Linked DNA regions of Ovis aries. The protein of the gene in region 2 interacts with the protein of the main gene of each other region in a pairwise test. Links are inferred from orthologs where the notes say so. Each region holds a gene or a part of one and is shown on either strand. Other genes may lie near its edges.

The links.
Region 1: the proteins of EEF1G (region 2) and GET4 interact in a two-hybrid assay, tested with the Homo sapiens proteins (2 studies listed by BioGRID and IntAct, with this or other methods). The link is inferred for Ovis aries from reciprocal best matches to the Homo sapiens genes EEF1G and GET4.
Region 3: the proteins of EEF1G (region 2) and ILF2 interact in a two-hybrid assay, tested with the Homo sapiens proteins (2 studies listed by BioGRID and IntAct). The two-hybrid records come from large-scale screens. The link is inferred for Ovis aries from reciprocal best matches to the Homo sapiens genes EEF1G and ILF2.
Region 4: the proteins of EEF1G (region 2) and ECH1 interact in a two-hybrid assay, tested with the Homo sapiens proteins (2 studies listed by BioGRID and IntAct). The link is inferred for Ovis aries from reciprocal best matches to the Homo sapiens genes EEF1G and ECH1.
Region 5: the proteins of EEF1G (region 2) and KLHL18 interact in binary tests that used the Homo sapiens proteins (3 or more experiments, as listed by UniProt). The two-hybrid records come from large-scale screens. The link is inferred for Ovis aries from reciprocal best matches to the Homo sapiens genes EEF1G and KLHL18.

The regions. Positions count from the first base shown.
Region 1 is NC_056077.1:42,184,921-42,189,045, forward strand, and holds the start of GET4 (Golgi to ER traffic protein 4 homolog), read right to left. Parts: upstream 2,810-4,125; 5' UTR 2,752-2,809; coding exon 2,597-2,751; intron 1-2,596. UniProt on the Homo sapiens protein: As part of a cytosolic protein quality control complex, the BAG6/BAT3 complex, maintains misfolded and hydrophobic patches-containing proteins in a soluble state and participates in their proper delivery to the endoplasmic reticulum or alternatively can promote their sorting to the proteasome where they undergo degradation.
Region 2 is NC_056074.1:37,460,074-37,464,116, forward strand, and holds the start of EEF1G (elongation factor 1-gamma), read right to left. Parts: upstream 2,815-4,043; 5' UTR 2,796-2,814; coding exon 2,784-2,795; intron 1,696-2,783; coding exon 1,537-1,695; intron 864-1,536; coding exon 800-863; intron 644-799; coding exon 501-643; intron 27-500; coding exon 1-26. Other genes in the region: TUT1 (speckle targeted PIP5K1A-regulated poly(A) polymerase), read right to left, coding at 3,890-4,043. UniProt on the Homo sapiens protein: Probably plays a role in anchoring the complex to other cellular components.
Region 3 is NC_056054.1:104,112,163-104,116,446, forward strand, and holds the start of ILF2 (interleukin enhancer-binding factor 2), read right to left. Parts: upstream 2,812-4,284; 5' UTR 2,761-2,811; coding exon 2,756-2,760; intron 2,064-2,755; coding exon 2,004-2,063; intron 1,797-2,003; coding exon 1,754-1,796; intron 1,186-1,753; coding exon 1,081-1,185; intron 708-1,080; coding exon 630-707; intron 322-629; coding exon 219-321; intron 1-218. UniProt on the Homo sapiens protein: Chromatin-interacting protein that forms a stable heterodimer with interleukin enhancer-binding factor 3/ILF3 and plays a role in several biological processes including transcription, innate immunity or cell growth.
Region 4 is NC_056067.1:47,913,153-47,916,567, forward strand, and holds the end of ECH1 (delta(3,5)-Delta(2,4)-dienoyl-CoA isomerase, mitochondrial), read right to left. Parts: intron 2,667-3,415; coding exon 2,542-2,666; intron 2,458-2,541; coding exon 2,409-2,457; intron 2,279-2,408; coding exon 2,214-2,278; intron 1,639-2,213; coding exon 1,568-1,638; intron 1,483-1,567; coding exon 1,411-1,482; intron 1,153-1,410; coding exon 714-1,152; 3' UTR 515-713; downstream 1-514. UniProt on the Homo sapiens protein: Isomerization of 3-trans,5-cis-dienoyl-CoA to 2-trans,4-trans-dienoyl-CoA.
Region 5 is NC_056072.1:52,314,104-52,316,548, forward strand, and holds part of KLHL18 (kelch-like protein 18), read right to left. Parts: intron 2,124-2,445; coding exon 2,012-2,123; intron 1,287-2,011; coding exon 900-1,286; 3' UTR 1-899. UniProt on the Homo sapiens protein: Substrate-specific adapter of a BCR (BTB-CUL3-RBX1) E3 ubiquitin-protein ligase complex required for mitotic progression and cytokinesis.

The DNA.
Region 1 (4,125 bases), on a different chromosome or scaffold from region 2:
GAGGCAGACAGGCCGGGTTCCTGGGGCAGCAGCCCCGGTTCCCAGTGACCACAGCCACACAGTCCTGGCAGCCCTGCCCACGGGAGAACCGCCAGCGGCTGGAAACCCCCCAGCAGCGACAGGTGCCCCGAAGCCTGACGCGCTTTCTGCACGCCGCAGATGGACATGTCTGAGCCCTTCCTGTCCCGGCAGAGAGAAGGCTGAAGAGAGTGCCCGTAACACCTGGGACGGAGCTCGGCCGCCCTCGTCCTTGGAACCAGCAGCTCCTGCCCCCCTCGCGCAGCACACACCCTGTAAATCCAAACCAGTTCCTCTCCCCCTCCTCAGGCTGCTGGGGGACACAGTGTAAGCGAATTAAAATAGCACAGATAGGTGAATTTATCCAACAGGTGACCGGATGAGACGATGCGGCCCCCGCAACCGCTGCCACTCAACAATAATTAACTAGTGACACGTGTTAAGGGTGGGCCTCCGAACGGTCACGCTAAGGAAACTTGAGAAGTCAGATAAAAAGAGGACATGCTATACAATGCTACTTACACAAAATCCCGGAAAATGCAAACCCACGTATCATAACAGAGATCAGTGGACGCCTGGGGGCCAGGGGTGAAAAGTCATCTTAAAGGCAGAAGAGAAAGCTCTGGGGCATGAGGAGTATTTTCAGCACTTTGGTGATAATTTCTTGCGTGAATACATATGTCAAAACCCATCAAATTGTACATTTATATAAATGCTTAAAAGCACTTATAAAAAGTCATTACAAGAGTGAGGCTGACTTCTTCGGAAGCTGCCAGCCACAAAGAGCTCTAAGCCAGGACTGCAACCGCAGGTCTGAGCACGGATGACGCCCTGCAGGCCGACTCAGCTGGGCCCTCTGGACGCCCACTAACGCCACCCTGCTTGGGTCCACAGCTGACCGTTCACTTCTCAGGAGTCCTGAACACGTGTAGGAGCCCCTCAAAGACCAAAGAGGAAGCCAAGACGTGGAGAAGAGGTTTAGCAAGTTGTCCTGGGTTACAGGTCACTGAGCAGAGGAGAAATGTGAATACAAGTCAAGGCAGGGCTGGTGGTCACCACAAAGCACACTTCGGGCACAGGGAGGCCACTTCAAAGCTAATCGACAATCGCGCTCCTGGCACAGCGGCGACTGCAGAGCTGGCTCACAACAAGGAACGCTGTGTTTATTTTTGGGACGATCCAGTTTTGCTGATTAATCACTGGGGCAAATATTTATACACAAATCCCTGAGAACAGCAAGCACCAGGCAAATCTCAAGCGCTACAGAGCTCCCATCCTACAGATCTCATTGGCTGGGCTCCGGGCAGAAGGCTCCATGTTACAGACTTTAAACCTGCTTACACCTTTGACTCATCCCCTGAAGGACAATTAACTCCCTGCTCCCTGGTCCTCTGGGCCACCGAGCCCAAATACGATCTGAGGCAGGCTCACTCGCACTGCGTCCCAACCAACCAACCACCAAAACAGAAAGCACTGCCAGAGTTCCCAAGACACTGATTCAACCCGCCGTTAAAAGAAAAATTTATATCCAGGCCTAAATGTTTTAAGGCAGACCTTACTGCCCATAAACATCACAGCAAAGTATTTGCCGCCGTGGGACAGTTTGGAAAAAAAAAACACAAACATTCCGCAGAACAGATTAAATCCTCTAAAATTATCTTTAAATGCTAACAAATAGCCCAAGTGTTTTCTGGCAAGAACCCTAAAGGCTGACAGCATTTATGTAATATACAGCAATGCCTGACGCGCAGAGAGACAGCTAGGAAATCACAGCAGCAGCGGCAGTGACCGCAGAAACGGTGTGGCGCGCCGCAGTCCCGAGCAGAACCGAGCGAGGCGGCGCCCGGGCAGCCCCTGAGGCCACCCCAACAGCGACATCGCGTTCCACCCAGTGCGGCCGAGCAGGCAGTAGTTCCCGAAGCTACCTGACCTCTCCTCTGCGCTCACGGCCCATCCTGTGAGGGACTCACATTCCAGAAGCTCAACTGCCGCACGTGGCCAGCGAGCCGCACACGCACCACAAAAACACCGGCTTCACGGAAACAGCCGGGTCAGTACCACGGTGAGCAAGGGCGACGCAGCAGGAGAAGCCTGTCTACAGCCTCGCGGCCGGGCGCCGAGGGAGAGCCGGGGGGCGCGCAGCGAGGCTTTCGGACTCAACGGCGCTCAGGGCGGGGGAGGGGGCGAGCGGCCGCGGCGGCTCCGGCACCCGGGCCGTCCGCACTCTCGGCCAGGGCTTCGGGCCCACCCGGGGTCCCGGCCGGGGCCGCGGGTCGGGGGCGGGGAGCTCCAGTCCCGGGCGGGGGGCTCCGGGTCGGGCGCCGGAGTGCGCGGGCCCGGGCGCCGGCGGGGGCCGCGGGGGCGGGCGAGGGGCCGCGGCGCCGCTCCCGGGCTGCAGCCCGCCCCCGGCCGCCTCCCCGCCGCCCGCTCCCACCGCCCAGGCGACGGGCAGCGGCGCGGGCCAATGGCGGCGCGGGGCGGCGCGGCGCGGCCAATGGGGCGCGGCCGGGGGCGGGGCGCCGGGCTCCGCGGCCGGGCGGGGAGCCCCGGCAGGCGGCGGCCGCGGCGCGGCGCCTACCTGAAGAAGAGGGTCCGGTACATCTGGTGCGCCTCGTAGTAGTCGCCCTTCTCGACGCTGGCCCGCAGCTTGCCCTCCACGCGCTGGACGCCGCCGCGGTTGCGGGCGCCGTTCCGGGCGCTCTCCTGCTCGGCCATCGCCGCCGCCGCCGCCATCGGGCCGGCGCTCCGCGCAGGGCTGACGCTGTCGCAGGCGCGGTCGGCAGCGCCTCTCGGCTTCCGTCCCGGCGGCCTCCGGGTGCCCTCTACGGTGGCCCGCGAGGGGCCGCGCGCGGCCGCGGAGGCGGGGCGCGGGCGCGCACGTGACCGCGGGGCGGGGCGGCGCCACAATGGCGGCGGCGGCGGCCCCGTGCCCGGGAGCGCGGGCAGGGCGCGCCCCGCCGCGGCTGCGGCCGCCGAGACACTGAGGCCGTCCGGGGAAGACCGTGCTCCCAGCCGTTCAGCGGGGCGCCGGCGGCTCGGGGTCCGGGCGCAGCGCTCGGCCCCGGCGCCCGACACCCGGCCCCGCCGCTGACTGCTCGCGGGGGGCCCGTGGGAAACGCGGAGACGCGTCTGCGGCGGGAGCGCGCACGGCGGGGGGGCGCGCGCACGGCCACCGCCAGGGGCACGCGCACGGCGGGGGCGGGGGCGCGCGCGCCGAGAGGCTCGCTGCCCGGCGACCCCGGCCCAGACCCGGCAGAGGCGACCCGGCCGGAAAGGGTCGGAGGAGGGGTCGCTCAACGCACTGTGTCCCCCTCATCGCCCGGGGCAGAGACGAAGCAGGTAGAGAAAAGAACATACTGTTTATTATCCATCTGAAACGTCACATGCGCTTTAAAAAGTTAAAACTCTTTATTTAAACATTTCGGCAGCGTCTTACCAATTTGGTGGCAGCAAAGAAGCTCTACCAAAGTATGTTGAAAAGCATTTACAAAAATACATTGCACAGAGTCCTGTCTCGCATCTTTAAAAATAAATATTCAAAATATTTCCACCCCATCTCCCAAATTTAGCTTTATATAGGAAATTTTGATTTATATATTTATCCTGTAATATATGAAACATATGTATACATTTTATTCAACTTAACTGCATAGGCATTAGTTTCAATTCTGACAAGAGTGAAAAAAAACCCTAGTGTATGTGGCTGTCGTATATTTGAGGACTGTTGTGCAATGCACATAAAACTCTTCAGAAAACCAGTCAGCACCATCATTTTGTCTTTTTCTGAAAATACATTTATGGTACACCAAAAAACTGTCTTAACCCAATAAAACTTAAATAATTCTTAAGGTAAAACATCTGTAACTTTAAGTGCCTTGCAGATACATTTATAAAGTCTGCTCAGTGAAAGTCTAAATATTAAATATTAATTATAACCAAAACAAAGAGAATGGCCGAGTCGTAATAAAAGGCAAATCCAACCAGAGCCAGCACAAAGTGCTGCTGTAAGAACAGTGTCACCAAATGTCCTGGTTTCATGAATTTGCCACGTGGGACAATCTCCTTTAATAACTGTAAGTGGAATAAAAACATAAGCCTCTGAAAGAC
Region 2 (4,043 bases):
ACCTCCTCCTTTGCATTCTCTGTGGCCTATTGATTTAAAATGATCAGGCTCAGCAGTGGGTAGCAAGCCCTGTCCCTGCCCTTCTCCCCCAATAACAGAACCAAAATAGCTATTCCACTGAGTCCTGGCTCGCTGCAAATGTATCACAAATGAAGCTCTCAATGTTAAATTTCTTCAGGGTGCAGTCTGGCTTCATTTCAAACTGTACTAATCATAGCCATACATCTTTGAATTTTAGAAGTCACCTTAGAGGTCATCTGATCTAACTATATTCCCTTACCATCTGATACAATCTTTTTACAGCAGAAATCTCTGGTCTGTCCACTCAGACCTCCCACCTCCGCGGGGTCTGCCCAGCGCTCCCCAGCACTCCCAGCTTACATCCCAAAGATTTAACTATTTAGGTGTTCTTGGCATCGCCCTTCCTATTCCTTCGTCCCGGATGCTCAGGAAGCGGATGCCACCCCGGCCCGTGGTCTCCCCCAAGCTCCAAGGCTTACCTGCTTGTTGTGGTGCATGATGCCCAAGGTCGGGAACACCCAGGTGCTGGCTGGTGGCACTATGTCGCTATCAGCAAAGCTCACCCACTGCACCACCTGCGCCGCTGCCTCGGGAGTACTTCCCCGCAGCTCCTCGTTGCTCACTGCAGAGGCGGAACATGAAGGTCAGAACTCTGGGGTTATGCCAAGACCAGTCCAGGTGCCTGGAAATTCTTCTTTCTGTCCACTCCAGCTCCCCCACCCTCCCCTACGCCTCACCATCTCCAGACCCTCCCACTCCCACAGCCACTGCAGATTACCATAGTAGGCAATGGCATTGCTCTCGAACACACAGAATCCATCGTCACCCTCAAAGGCTGGAACCTGGTGACAGAATAGTCAAAAGTAAAATATACAGCAGTTTCTCACTAGTCAAGTCCAGGAGGCGCAACTGTTTTGAATAGAAGTTTTTATATAAGGCTGATATCCCTTGCTAACCGAACTCAACGCTATCTGAAACTCAAGAACCAAAACTACATGACTAACTTGCTACCCCCTACAATGTGAACTCACATAAGAAACCCCCCAAATTTAGATATTATTAGATATTTGTACATAATTCCTCAATCAAATAAGCAAAAGCCAAGAAACCAAGTCCTCTGCTGCTGTCTATATTATCCAGAGCATTACCACGTACTACTCCACTGGACTTGACTTAGCATGGTTATTTATCTATCTCCCTAAGCCTCTTGGGGCAAGAATTTCACTCACAGCAGGTATCTGACCTATTGACATTTGCACTGAAATCAGTCAAAATCCATTCAGTCTGCCTCAAAGCTTGTGTTTTACAGGAAATCACTGAAGAATTCTATACTATTTTTAACTACAAATAAATCACCATCATCTCAAAATAAAAGTTTTAAGTCTCTGAAGTGTAGGGGAAAAAAATAACATGAAAAGATCCCCTTTAAAGATGGAAGCCATTTTCAGAGTGATGGCTTCTCAGTTCTCCTTGGATTCTCAGGACCAAAGGCCCCTCTTCCACTTCCCTACTCACCTTGCCAGCAGGAAATTTACGGAGAAATTCGGGGGTGCGGTTGGTTTGGCCAAAATGGAAGTGGGGTGGTGCGGAGAGCACGCGGACCTGAGCCCCGCTGTACTGAGCGGCAATGAGGGCCTTGAAGGCCCTCCAGTTTTCAGGATATGTGTACAGGGTCTGTGGGGAAAAGATGGGGAATGAAACATTAATGACTAGAAGGGTCCCAGTCTTAAGTGTTTCCAAGCAATGACTTCCCTGAGTAATCCCAATCCATTTCACCTCACTCCCTCTGGTGAACCAAGTTAGTTCTTCCGTGTCTGCCGTCAAGTGTAACCAGAGTCCCCTGAAATACCGAGGACAGAACTACACACCGACTGCTAAATAAAGCTTGTTGACAGATTTGACCTTCTCTAAGGACGTCTCTAGAAGCATTCTCTTCCCCTCAAATATAGTTCCAAGAAATACAGAACTTCTAGGTCCCTCAGACTCCATCTGCCGACAAACACACAGCCCTCCCTTCCCAGAGCCCTTGTTCATTCATTCATGGTTGCCGAGTGCCTGACTACTCTACTGCTGAGCCGCTCACCCATCAGAAGTATCACGCTTGTTTCCAAGACACACACATCGACCAAGACATTTCCGAGCCCACTCCAAATAGCCACGGGAACCGAATGGCATCTTAAATCAACTCGGTCTCCCTAAAAACCCTTTCATTTCTTGTCACGCATTCCATCTCTTCGGTCCTGTCCCGCAGTGAGTTCTCCGGGTTGCCTTCTCCCCTTCTATTAACCTGGCCAGGGAGGTCCAACTGGCCTGACTTCCCTGTCCAGAGACTCTTCTCGCTCCCCAACCTCCCCACCGGACCACCCTTAACCGTGGCCAGCCGTACCTGCCCATAAAGACCTTCCTCTTCGCCCTGTCCCTCCTGTTGCCCCACAAAACGGTCGCAAAAGTTTTGCCAACCTGCCCGGATCCCACGTCTCGAGGCGGCAATGAACCCGAACTGCTTTATCAAGCTCCAGATTGCCAGAATCCGGCATCCGTTTTCTCCTCTACCCCAGACCCTTCCACCTCTTCTGCCTCCCAGAGCCCTAGCCTCAGTTCCCCTCTGGGGCCTGGAGGCCCTACTCTCGAACAGTACGATCTCCAAACCCCGGATCAGTTCCCGACTCAGCTGCAGAACCCCTCTGACGCCGGCTGAGCCTGCTCGGGCAGAGGATGGCGTCGGATAGGATGACCTGGATCGCCGGAGCCGGCAAACTTACCCCAGCCGCCATGGTGATTCCGCAGAGAAAGGGGGTGGGGCTCTCCGCGCTGCCGCAAAGTAAGCCGTCAGGGAGAGAAGGGAGGGGGGAAGGGGAGAGCCGTGGAGAAACAGCAGCCGGAAAGCGAGGACGGCATAGAAGGCTTACGCACGACAGTTCGGTATCCCGCAGCAGCTGAATGGAAAAAGAAGTGGGTGGGGCCTACTGGCCAGCGCGGAAAAAACTCGCGCCGGCGCAGTGGGGGATGGCCAATCCGAGTCCGGACGTGGAGGTAGACCGCGCGGAGACGCTGAGTCTTGCCTGGAAAGCCGCCCCTCTGCAGCTACGTGGCAGAGCTGCCAGCTCGGCATCTTGCGGGGCACCAGAGGCGTTTCCCTCCGGGTCGCCTGGCCCATGGTGATTTGGTGAAGGTCGTGCCAGACCCACAACATCGTGGTCGCGTGACGCATTGGGGTGGCAACTGCGTGGAGATGACGGGGTCCCACGCTCCTTTTGTTACAGCTTTCTAGAGGAGAGATTGTACATCTGACCCAAGCCCAGGTCTGAAACCCTCCGTAAAAGTGAGGCTTTTTCCATTAAACCACCTTGCAGCTCACAGGTGCTGTTACTAAGAGGCACTCTTCCGGGACCCGCAACAGGGGAGGGACTGAGGGAGAACACAGCCAAGTTCTGTCACCTTGGAGGGGCTGACAGTTCAAATGAGGGGTTGCCCTTTACCCATACTCAGATCTGAACATTTTTTACCCAATATGAAGAGAATGGATTTAGAACCCTGGACCCAAATTTCAAGCCCGTCACCATTCATAATCTGGGCAGTAATGTAAATGAGGAAGGAAACTTGGTTCTTTCCAGGTGCAGCTTAAGCCACCCACCCAGCACTCCATCTTTCCAGAACTCAGTACTGAGAGTGTCCAGGTGCCAATCACTTGCCCTGGGCATGAAAGGAAACAGCCTGGGAGACAGACTTATTTTAGGGTGACAAGACAAGGTACCTCTGAGGGTGCACTAAGCACTTAGTCGGGGAAGGAGTATTATCACCAGGTGGAAATAGAGGAAACTAGTGTTCATTAAACTAGCAGCTTTATTGCCTTTCAGGGTTCCCATCTTCACTTAAGTAGATTTCGAAGTGCTTGAGGGAGAAAAACCTGTAAGAAATGATGGAGATCAGGGAACAGGCCTTGAGAATCCTGGAGTGGGGTCACAGTGAGACTCTGGTCAGCCTGGGAGGCGGATGCCACGAAGGTCAGGAGTGGCTCGGCC
Region 3 (4,284 bases), on a different chromosome or scaffold from region 2:
TCTTGTCCACTGCAGGATGCTTAGCAGCAACCTTGGCCTCTACCAGAAGACGTTAGCCTCAAACATCTCCAGACATTGCTGAATGTCCCCTGGGGAGCAAAGTCCGTCCTGCAGTAACTGGTCATACATTCTTTCACATACAGCACACCATTTAAATCCCTATGCCTCAAATCCAACTGCTATGTTCTGCTGCTGTGGCCAAAGAGAGGCACACTTACATGTTGGCAAAATCTTTAGGATCACTACCAGGTCAGCCACGTTGTGTCCTGTAGTCATCGTTCCCTTTTTATATGATCCGACTTGTCGGACTTCTTCAATTTGCTGTTGGAAAAGGGATTTAAGAAAGAAAAAACAAAACTTACAAGTGAGAAGCTTATTACCCAGATTTGGAAGTAGCAGAGTTCAAATCATATTCCAAAATGAGCAATGAAAAGCCTGATTCATTACAGCTAGCTGATAGCAATGATGAATCTGGTCCCTAAGACCAGCACGACAAAGGAATTCTACTGTACTTTCCCATTCCAAGAGTGGCTTTAAATAAGCATCTGAAGAATCAAGCGACAGGAACCAAGGAAACTTTCACACTTCCATGACTTCCCTTTCCTAGGACTAGATCTTCAAAAACTCACCACTTCAAATGTCCCTGGAGCCACAATCAAATTGTCAATCACATTGTTTATTTTTGTCACCAGGGAAAGGATAGAGGCCTGAAAAATAGCAGGAAACAAAAATACCCTCAGGTGAAATACCAAGCAACTTTTCATCAAGTTTGACTATTTCCCCAATTCCTTCAATAGGAATCAACACCTATACCGGATTCTGAAAGCACCCAGACCCTCCCAGCCTTGAATATGCCAGAAGAGAAAACTTTGATCCCAACGACAGATTCCCCAATAATAATATGAACGCACATGTAATCTGTTTATACATTCACTTGATGCTCTCCCTTTACACACAATGAAAAATAAGAATGATTAAACCTGTGGAGTTCAGGCTCTGACAACAGTAATCTCACCAAGTAGCTATTTACTTCTCTAGCTTCCTTCATGAAATCTCAGGAAGAAAACCAACAGAATATACCTGTTCAGCAGAATTAGGAGCAAGGTCCTGATTCCTCTTCAGCAAGGCCTCACTGAAGGAAGTTTCATCAGGTGCTGGCTTGACCCGGGGAAAAGCCATTTCACACTAAACAAGAAATATACTATATACTACTTGCCAAAAATAATATGCAACAGATTTTTCTGTTGCCACAACACAAAAAAAGAGATAATTCTACAACACTTATACTCTTGTGACCCTAATATTAACAGACAAGGCAGTGATACAATTAACTGTTCAGAACAAAGATTATAATCATGTTACTGTCGATTGTAATGAAGGACCTATCTTCCCCACCCAGGTTATACTTTTTTGTATGTAAAGCAACACAGATGACTCAAAACTTCCCTTTTTCTACTCCAACTACCACATGACTTCATTAACAGGGAGACACCAGGTTCCAAGAAACAACAATTGAATAGTGGCCAAAGTTAAGTTAGTTAAGTCGCTCAGTCGTGTCTGACTCTTTGCGACCCCATGGACTGTAGCCCACCAGGCTCCTCCGTCCATGGGATTCTCCAGGCAAGAATACTGGAGTGGGTTGCCATTTCCTTCTCCAGGGGATCTTCCCCACCCAGGGATCGAACCTAGGTCTCCCGCATTAGAGGCAGACACTTTAACCTCTTAGCCACCAGGGAAGAGACACCGTACTCACCAAATAGAAGTCAAATGGAATATGTGGCACAAAGGGCCTGAACCTAAAAAGCGGAAAAACAATCCAGATTACTCACCACATAAATCAAACTGACTTCACATAATGGGGCCAAACTCATTTATCAAGAGAGCATGAGAAGAATACTTCTAAACTACAGCTGGATCTCAACAAGGCAGGTAAGATACTCCACTCCTATTTAGATGACTGAAAGGGAAACCAACGGGCACAGATGCTAAGGACTGGCACTCACCCTCCTCCTGGGCCTCCTCTGGAACCAAAGCGCCCGCCACGACCGCGGCCTCTGTCACCCCTAGAAATGCATTATTAACATATTTTAACTTTCTTTTCATCTCATTGAAGCAATCTCCTCGGTACCGGCCGTATGATTTCAGGTTAGCCTACCTCTATCGCTCTGCACTTCCCTTTGGAAGCCAAAGGATCCCATTCTCACTTACACTTCTACACCTTCCAAATGTCCAGCCTCACTCCCCATGACTGGATAACTGATTCACATCAAACCACATTAAAGAGAGCCCTACAAGAAACATCCCATAATCGCCGGGTCCCGCCAACCCTAATACTTCGCAGACTAATGTGACTGCTTATTCATTCGTTCATGTAGTAAAAGCATCTATCAGGCGTATCGTGTATGTCAAGCAACTGGCATTGAGGATGAATGAGACACGTTCCAGCCATCTCAGTCTAAATAGGAGGTGTGGGGGTGCTCCTCCTGGAACCTGAGGACACCCTCTCATCTGAACCCCCCAGAGAGCGAACAGTCGGAACCGCCTCTCGACTCCTGGGCCCCACCCCCCATCCCCGGCCAAGTTTCCCCGCCTCCACTGCCCCCGACCTCCCCTTCTCTTAGAGCCGGAGTTCTCAGGTTTCCGTGCAACCCCCAGGTACATGGCCCTTTCCAGTCCGCCGACTCCTTTCGGACCAACTTCCTAAAGTTTTCGGTCGAATACCTGAAACCTCTCCAGGGCACCCCACAACCCTTACCTCATGGCGTCCTAGATCCCGAACAATGGAGGCCACACCAACCGCCCCTTTCCTCTGGGGAGCCGACAACTGGAGAGGCAGCTTGCCGGCGTGTCCCAACAAACTCCAGCGCGATTGGCTCCCGCCGTACTCCGCTGCTTGTGCCTATTGGTTTGCTTTGGCAAACCGGTTTATTGAGCCAATGAAAAGGGCCTGCTCTGTCAGTAACTAGCCAATAAGAACAGGTTAGACGTTAACGCCCTTTTGCAGACACTAGAGAGCGCTGTGTAAAGAAATTAGTGTGGCTGGCATCTAGAGACCTTTCTATGATTCTTGGGGGGTGAAAACGGCAACAGCAGAGTGGCGCAGCGGAAGCGTGCTGGGCCCATAACCCAGAGGTCGATGGATCGAAACCATCCTCTGCTAGCGGTGCTTTTTTAATTTTTTTCTCCTGGGACAGTTTTTCTGTTTTAAATTTCTTCAGTAAATGTAACTACCGTAATCCTACTTTTCTCTCCCTCAAAATATGCAGCCTTTAAAAGCTGTTTTTGCCATCAGCGAGTGAAATGGAAAAGGCAACCGAAATCATGTAGGAAGGGATTTTGGGTGACTGTGAACACTACATGTCTGGATGTGGTTCACAGAGGCTGAAGCAGAAGAAACGGATATGAGTATGTATGTTGATTGACTCAGGGAAAGTACTGATGGTGAGGGACTAGAAGGGAAACTGAGACAGCCTTTGGAAAGAGAGCTCAGAAAAGGAGGGCAAGGGAAGCGACAGGAGAGAAGGACCAGACCGCTGCCATTTTTTGTCGTTTCCTCTCCTTTCCTCATTCTACAACCTCTCTGGCGGATTCCACCTTTATGCAAAGTTTCACAGCCAAGTATATGGATATACTGTGGTTGCATTTACATCAATTCATATTCAGTTCAGTTCAGTTCAGTCGCTCAGTCGTGTCCAACCCTTTGTGACCCCATGAATCGCAGCACAGGCCTCCCTGTCTATCACCATCTCCCGGAGTTCACTCAGACTCACGTCCATCGAATCGGTGATACCATCCAGCCATCTCATCCTCTGTCGTCCCCTTCTCCTCCTGCCCCCAATCCCTCCCAGCATCAGAGTCTTTCCCAATGAGTCAACTCTTCGCATGAGGTGGCCAAAGTACTGGAGTTTCAGCTTTAGCATCATTCCTTCCAAAAGAACACCCAGGGCTGATCTCCTTTAGAATGGACTGGTTGGATCTCCTTGCAGTCCAAGGGACTCTCAAGAGTCTTTTCCAACACCACAGTTCAAAAGCATCAATTCTTCGGCGCTCAGCTTTCTTCACAGTCCAACTCTCGCATCCATACATGACCGCTGGAAAAACCATAGCCTTGACTAAACGGACCTTTGTTGGCAAAGTAATGTCTCTGCTTTTCAATATGCTATCTAGGTTGGTCATAACTTTTCTTCCAAGGTGCTTTTTGTCCTTCCTATAATCCTGTTTATCCTCCTTGCCTTCTTTTGCATTAATTACTGTTTATTATTCCTTCTCTGCTTCTGTCAATTG
Region 4 (3,415 bases), on a different chromosome or scaffold from region 2:
TGTTTTTTTTTTTTAATTAATTTTTTTGGCGGTGCCACCAGGCTTGTGTGATCTTAGCTCCCCGACTAGGGATTGAACCCTGGGCCACCACAGTGAAAGCACCTAGTCCTAATTCCCCAGGAGGTTGAGATTACCTATGGAAAACTTGAAGCTTAAAGAAGTGAGGCAGTCGGCCCAAGAGTGTGTAGCAGTTGACTCCTAACCACACTCCAGCACCGGATCCCACTATGTTCTGTACTGAGTGGGTACCAGGCAGGGTAGACTCTGCCCTTAAGCATGAAGCAGGCAGGGAGACCATCTGTAGCCTTGTCAACCTAAAGGGAGTCACATGACTTTCTACCAGGGCTGGCCTGGCCTGCCCACCAACACTCTGAATGGTCCTCACCTGCACAGCTCCCATTCCCAATCGGTCAAACCTCTATTCCCAACATTCAACACAACCGTGGTCCTTAGAGCCCCGAGGGTCACTGTACTGCCTACTCTTTATGCCGCGCCTCTCTTTCCAACAAGGACACCGGGTTCTTTACGCTTTATTGTTCGTGGGGCAAAGATAAGGCAGGAAGAAATGTGTCATAAAGGTATAAACTGGGAGACTTGAGAAGACAGCAAGCTGGACCATCTTTACGAATCCTCCCTTTCCATGAACAAGAACATGCAGGCAGGAGGCGGGGCAAAGCCAGACCCCTGCGCCAAGACCTGGGACGACAGGCCTCTCAGAGCTTGGAGAAGGTGACGGTCTTCAGAGCCTTCTTCTCTATTGCGGCCTGGACAGACTTCATGATGTCTTCTGTTTGTAGCATGCTCATGTTCCAGGATTTCTGGATAATGATGGCAGCCGGTAATAGAAAGGATACAGGAAGATTTTCGTTGGACCAATGAAAAAATGGGAGGGAGACAGCAGCGAGCCAATCAGAGGACAAGGCCTGTAAAGGGCCGCTGGGCCCTGATTGGTCACTCAGGGAATCAGAGATGGGTGTGATTGGTTGGATGGAGAGTCTCACCATATAGTTGAGGCTCTCCGTCACCGAATGGTCGCGGGAGTAGATCAGGTTGATTTTTGTGCTCTGCACCGCCACGGGGCTCTTGCTGGAAATCTCAGCTGCCAAGGTGAAAGCCGCATCAAGCATGGTCTCCTTATCTGGGAAGAGCCGGCTGAGGATGAGAGAAATTGGAAATCAGGCAATCTGAGGAGAGCTCTCCTCTCCCTCCGATGGATGAAGAAGTGACCAATCGCAGTAGAAAGTGGAAGACAGCGCTGGTGAAATGGACCAATCGGAACAGGGCAATAGACTCCACCCAGAGAGAGGAGGCCACTTGGAATCCGTGAGTTAAGGTGCATGGGAATCCAAGGAGCCCCACCCAAGCCTGGCTGCCCCTGAATTCTTATCCAGCACAGGCCTCAGCCCCTACCTGACCAGTCCACTCTCCAGGGCCTCATCAGCCATCATCTTGCGGGCAGTGTAGGCCAGCTCGTTGACCAGGCTGCAAGAGGGCAGGACATGCGAGAGGATGGCATCCTGTTTAGGAGTTGCTCTGTTGTCCCCTTGCCCAGGCTCCCCTCACCCACCTCTGGTTCCCGATGACTTTGGGCAGTCGCTGCAGGGTTCCCACATCTGCCGCCAAACCTACGTCCACCTCCTGGGGGAAGCGACAGTGTTAGTGCTTGGTTTCTGCCCAGTATTGTCCCCACTGCAGCCTCAGTGGCAGCGAAACTCTGTATTTACCTGAGTCCCACCACACTCTCACCTCGGAGACGCCCCTCCAAAACACCCCTTTTCATTCCCATCCAGACTTTTGCCCATATAGGTTCCTTTGCTCTAGAATATAGCCCACCTTCCAACTCCCCTGTCCTCCCAACTCTGAAGTCAGCTGCATCTATCTCCAGGAAAAGCCTTGCCCTGAACCCCTCCATCCATGAGCTCCATCCTGCCTCCCACCCCCTCCAGCGCTGACTCGAGCAAAACCCCCACCCTCTTCCCCTCCCCCACACATTGACTCACTCTTGACCTCACACTGACTCCATGACCTCCCCTTGATGTCCCCCGTGGCCAAGTTTTACTTTTTAAGATTCAATTCTAACTTTTCCATGAAGCCATCGAGGCTCACTCCCACCCCCTTTAGCTTGCTCCGTCCCTGCTCTGACCCGGCTCTGCCACTCATTTCTCATACCTCAGTAGGACCCAAGGGAGCAGAAGCTTGGGAGAATGGCTCACCTTCACTTGGAAGAAAGAATCCCGGGTACTGTATCGGATGTCACAGGCAGTGATGAGATCCACTCCTGGGAAGTAGAGGCCAGAGACACTGAACAACCACAGGACTGACCCACCCCCACTCCCAGACCATGGGCTTGCGCCTTGGGGCAAAGTCTAACTAGCAACAGATCTGGGGTGGGTGGACTCAGACTCAACCTCCACCAATGCAGCCTCCATGGATGGCAGCGATCACCGGCTTAGGGCACTAGAAGGGGACAGAAGGGGCAGGGTCAAGGCTGGTCCGGGAGCAGCAGGTTGGGGGGACACCCTGCTAGACTCCCAGAGTCACCTTCTCGATGACGCTGAAGGTCTCTTGGTATCTGGTGATGAGGCTATGAAGGTGCCAGCTGATGCGGGCCGTGTCGTCACCTGCAGGCTGAAGGAGCTCTGAAGCCATGTCCATGAGGTCGATACCTGGTGGGGAGATGTGGGGAGGCTCACCTAGCCTCCCAGGCCCTACCCATTGCCCCAACTAGAGGTCATAGGCCAGGCAAACCACCACAGTGGAGAAAGCAACTCACACAGGTCTTCTGGAGGGGTCGCATTTGGGGTGTGAAGGCAATACAAGTTAACACATATTGAGTCTCTGCTCACTTTAGCCTCACAATGATCCTCTGAGGTAGGTCCTATTACTATCTCCATTTTATCGGGGGAGAAACTGAGGCACAGGGAGCTTAAGTCGCTTGCCCAAGGTCACCCTGGCTTGTGAGCAGTGGAACTGAGATTTCAAACCCAGAGCCATGCAGCCGGCTCTCGGTGGTAAAGAATCTGCCCGCAATGCAGGAGACTGGGTTCGATCCCTGGGTTGGGAAGATCCCGTGGAGGAGGAAATGGCAACCCACTCCAGTATTCTTGCTGGAAAATCCCATGGACAGAGGGGCTGGCTCCTCTGTGGACTGGGCTACAGTCCATGGGATCTCAAAGAGTTGGACATGACTTGAGCAACTAACACTAATTTTGTCAAAGGTAGTAATGGTTCCTGAGATGGGGAGGTCAGAAATGGAGCAATCTTTGTCACTCCAACCTTAAGACAATCCCAAGTCTGACCTTTTCCTCCACTGACCTGCTCCCACATTCTGTTCCCCACACGCAGCCTCAGGGCCCTTGTGATCATCTCAGGGCCCTCTCTTCTTCCCATCCACCCATCTCTCTCATATAGAATA
Region 5 (2,445 bases), on a different chromosome or scaffold from region 2:
CCCTGCGTGCCCTACGAGGCCTCGGGACCCTGGGATCCGAAGAATGTGGGAGCGGGTACCACCCTTTTCATGGCGGGTGGAGGTTTTCCATTTAAACACATAACTGCCCTTAGTGTCTTTTATGTTTTCTTCTTGCCAAAAAAAAAAAAAGCTCACTTGAAAAAAGTATTTTTCCTCCAGTTTCTTTCAAGTGTTGCTTTAACTTTCCTTCAGTTTCCTTCAAGTATCTTTTTTTTTTTCTTCTCCCTCGGTTTCTCTCGAATAAGATGAAAAAGACCTCGTGGCAATCCCAAAATTAGACACAGGAAAAGTTTCTGTTCTCCCTGCTTGCTCAGCAATGTAGACAAGAATCCTCGGGGCCCTTGGATGGAAGGAGGCGCAGGGGCCCATGTGCAGCTGGCCCTGCCATGCTGCAGGCTCACAGTGAGGAACTCTGGCCTGTGTCCCCTCTCCCCCGGCCACATCCGGCAGTTTCCAGCGGCCTCAGCCACTGCAGCCGCCCCCCTGCAAACTGGCCACGGTATGGCTGGTGTGCGGTGGGCGAGGACTGTCAAGATGGAAAGCCCTCGGCAGAGGGGCGGCCCACGGAGCTGCGGCGGCTGGGAGGTGGGCTTGGATGGAGCCCGCGGATGTGTGGACCAGCTAAGCCGCCCTGTAAGCGGCGGCAGGACCCACAGGGGCTCTGTCCCCTGCTGTGTATCTTGGTCACCCAGGCCTGAAGATCACAAGGGCTGCACAGCCAAGGAGGACTTAAGCACCTGAAACCCTGGACCTCCGGCGAGCTCACGTTTCACCTTGTCGTCTGGTCCAGCACCTCTCCCCAGGGGGACGGTCCCCGGGAGGGAGTGCTGCCTGTGTTTGTACCAGATCCCTGCCCCACCACGGCCCACCCCTGCGCCTTAGATGGTGAGCAGAGGGATGCAGCCCACACCGACCCCGCCCTCGTGACAGGCCATGGGGGCCATGAACGTCCAGCGGTCCGTGTCTGGGTCGTACATCTCCACCGAGCTCAGGTTGGACTGTCCGTCATAGCCCCCCACGGCGTAGAGCCGCCCGCAGCTGGCCACCAGCGAGACCCGGCTCCGGCGCGTGAGCATGGGCACGATCAGGCACCACTGGTCCGCCACTGAGCTGTACACCTCGGCGATGCTGAGGAAGCCCGAACCGTCGTAGCCCCCGCACACGAACATCTTGCTTCCCAGGGAGGCGGCCCCGTGGCGGCAGCGCTTGTTGAGCATGCCGGCCGCCGGGTGCCATGTGGCCGTGTGGTGGTTGTAGTGCTCCACCTGCAGCAGGGAGAGGGGTGGTCAGGCCCAGGCTCGGCTGCCGGCGGCCCGGCTGCCCTCCGTGCCCAGGGAGAGGCTGAGGGGACGAGGAGCTCTGCCGGGCTGGGCCCTGGCCCCGAAGCCCACGTTCCTCAGCTGCACACCTGCTTGTGAGATGACAGGCATGGGCGACAGGGAGACGGCCTGGCCTCACCAGCTCTGTCTACACCCACAGAAAGAAGTCGAGGAGCTGCTGCAATGCGCTTGCTTTGTGTGGTGACAGAGCAGCGGGCGTGCGGGGTCTCCCGAGATCCCCACCGTCTGGTCCCCCTGAAGCCCTGACGGACAGTGGAATGACCACTCAATGGCTCTGGAGCTCTTTTTAAAATAAATGCAATTTCAAGTCAAGTGGCCAGAAGAACGCAACTATCTGCACGTTCCCACTCTGTCTACGATTGCACTTCCTCTGGGCGGGAAATTCAGCAGGGCTCAGGTGCTGTTCGCTGAGGAGATGACCAGGGTGGAGTGAGAGTGCTAAGGCCACACTCTAACCCTCTCTGTGCACACGGGTTCCCATGCTCCGAGGCGGCATTTCAGAGCACGTGGCAGATGGCCTGAGGCCCCGAGGTGACACTTTCCCTAGCAGTGGCCAGGCTGAGCCTTTTTCCAAAGAACGTCCTTTCAAAATAACTCTCGCAGGTAAAGGGAGTGTAGGTGCCCTTAGCCCAGGAGGAGCCCAGACTCACGCTGCTGAAGATCTGCAGGCCGTCGTGGCCGCCCGACACGTAGATCCTGCCCTCAAAGACTGTAACCCCTGCGGCACTGCGGTTCGAGCTCATCGGGGTCACCACTGTCCACCTTCAGGAAGAGGCAAAGGAGAAAAGGAGCCATGAGATCGGGGGGTCCTGCCCTCCCAAGACGGCGGAGGAGGATCTGGAGGAGCTATGCTCTGTTCTGTCCCAGCCTGGACAACCCCCCCAGTTCTTACGGCCTCCTCCACCACCTCTGCTCAGGTCACTCTGGCTGCCGCCTTTTGCTTAAGCTTCAGGCCCACGCACTCAAAGTCAGGATGCCCAAGCAAGGCCTCTCTGACAGATCTGCTCCTCCCTAATGCCTCTGGTCTTGTGAATGGGACCACCAGCCATCTAGCTGCTAGATTTATAGTTTCAGAATTTTTTAA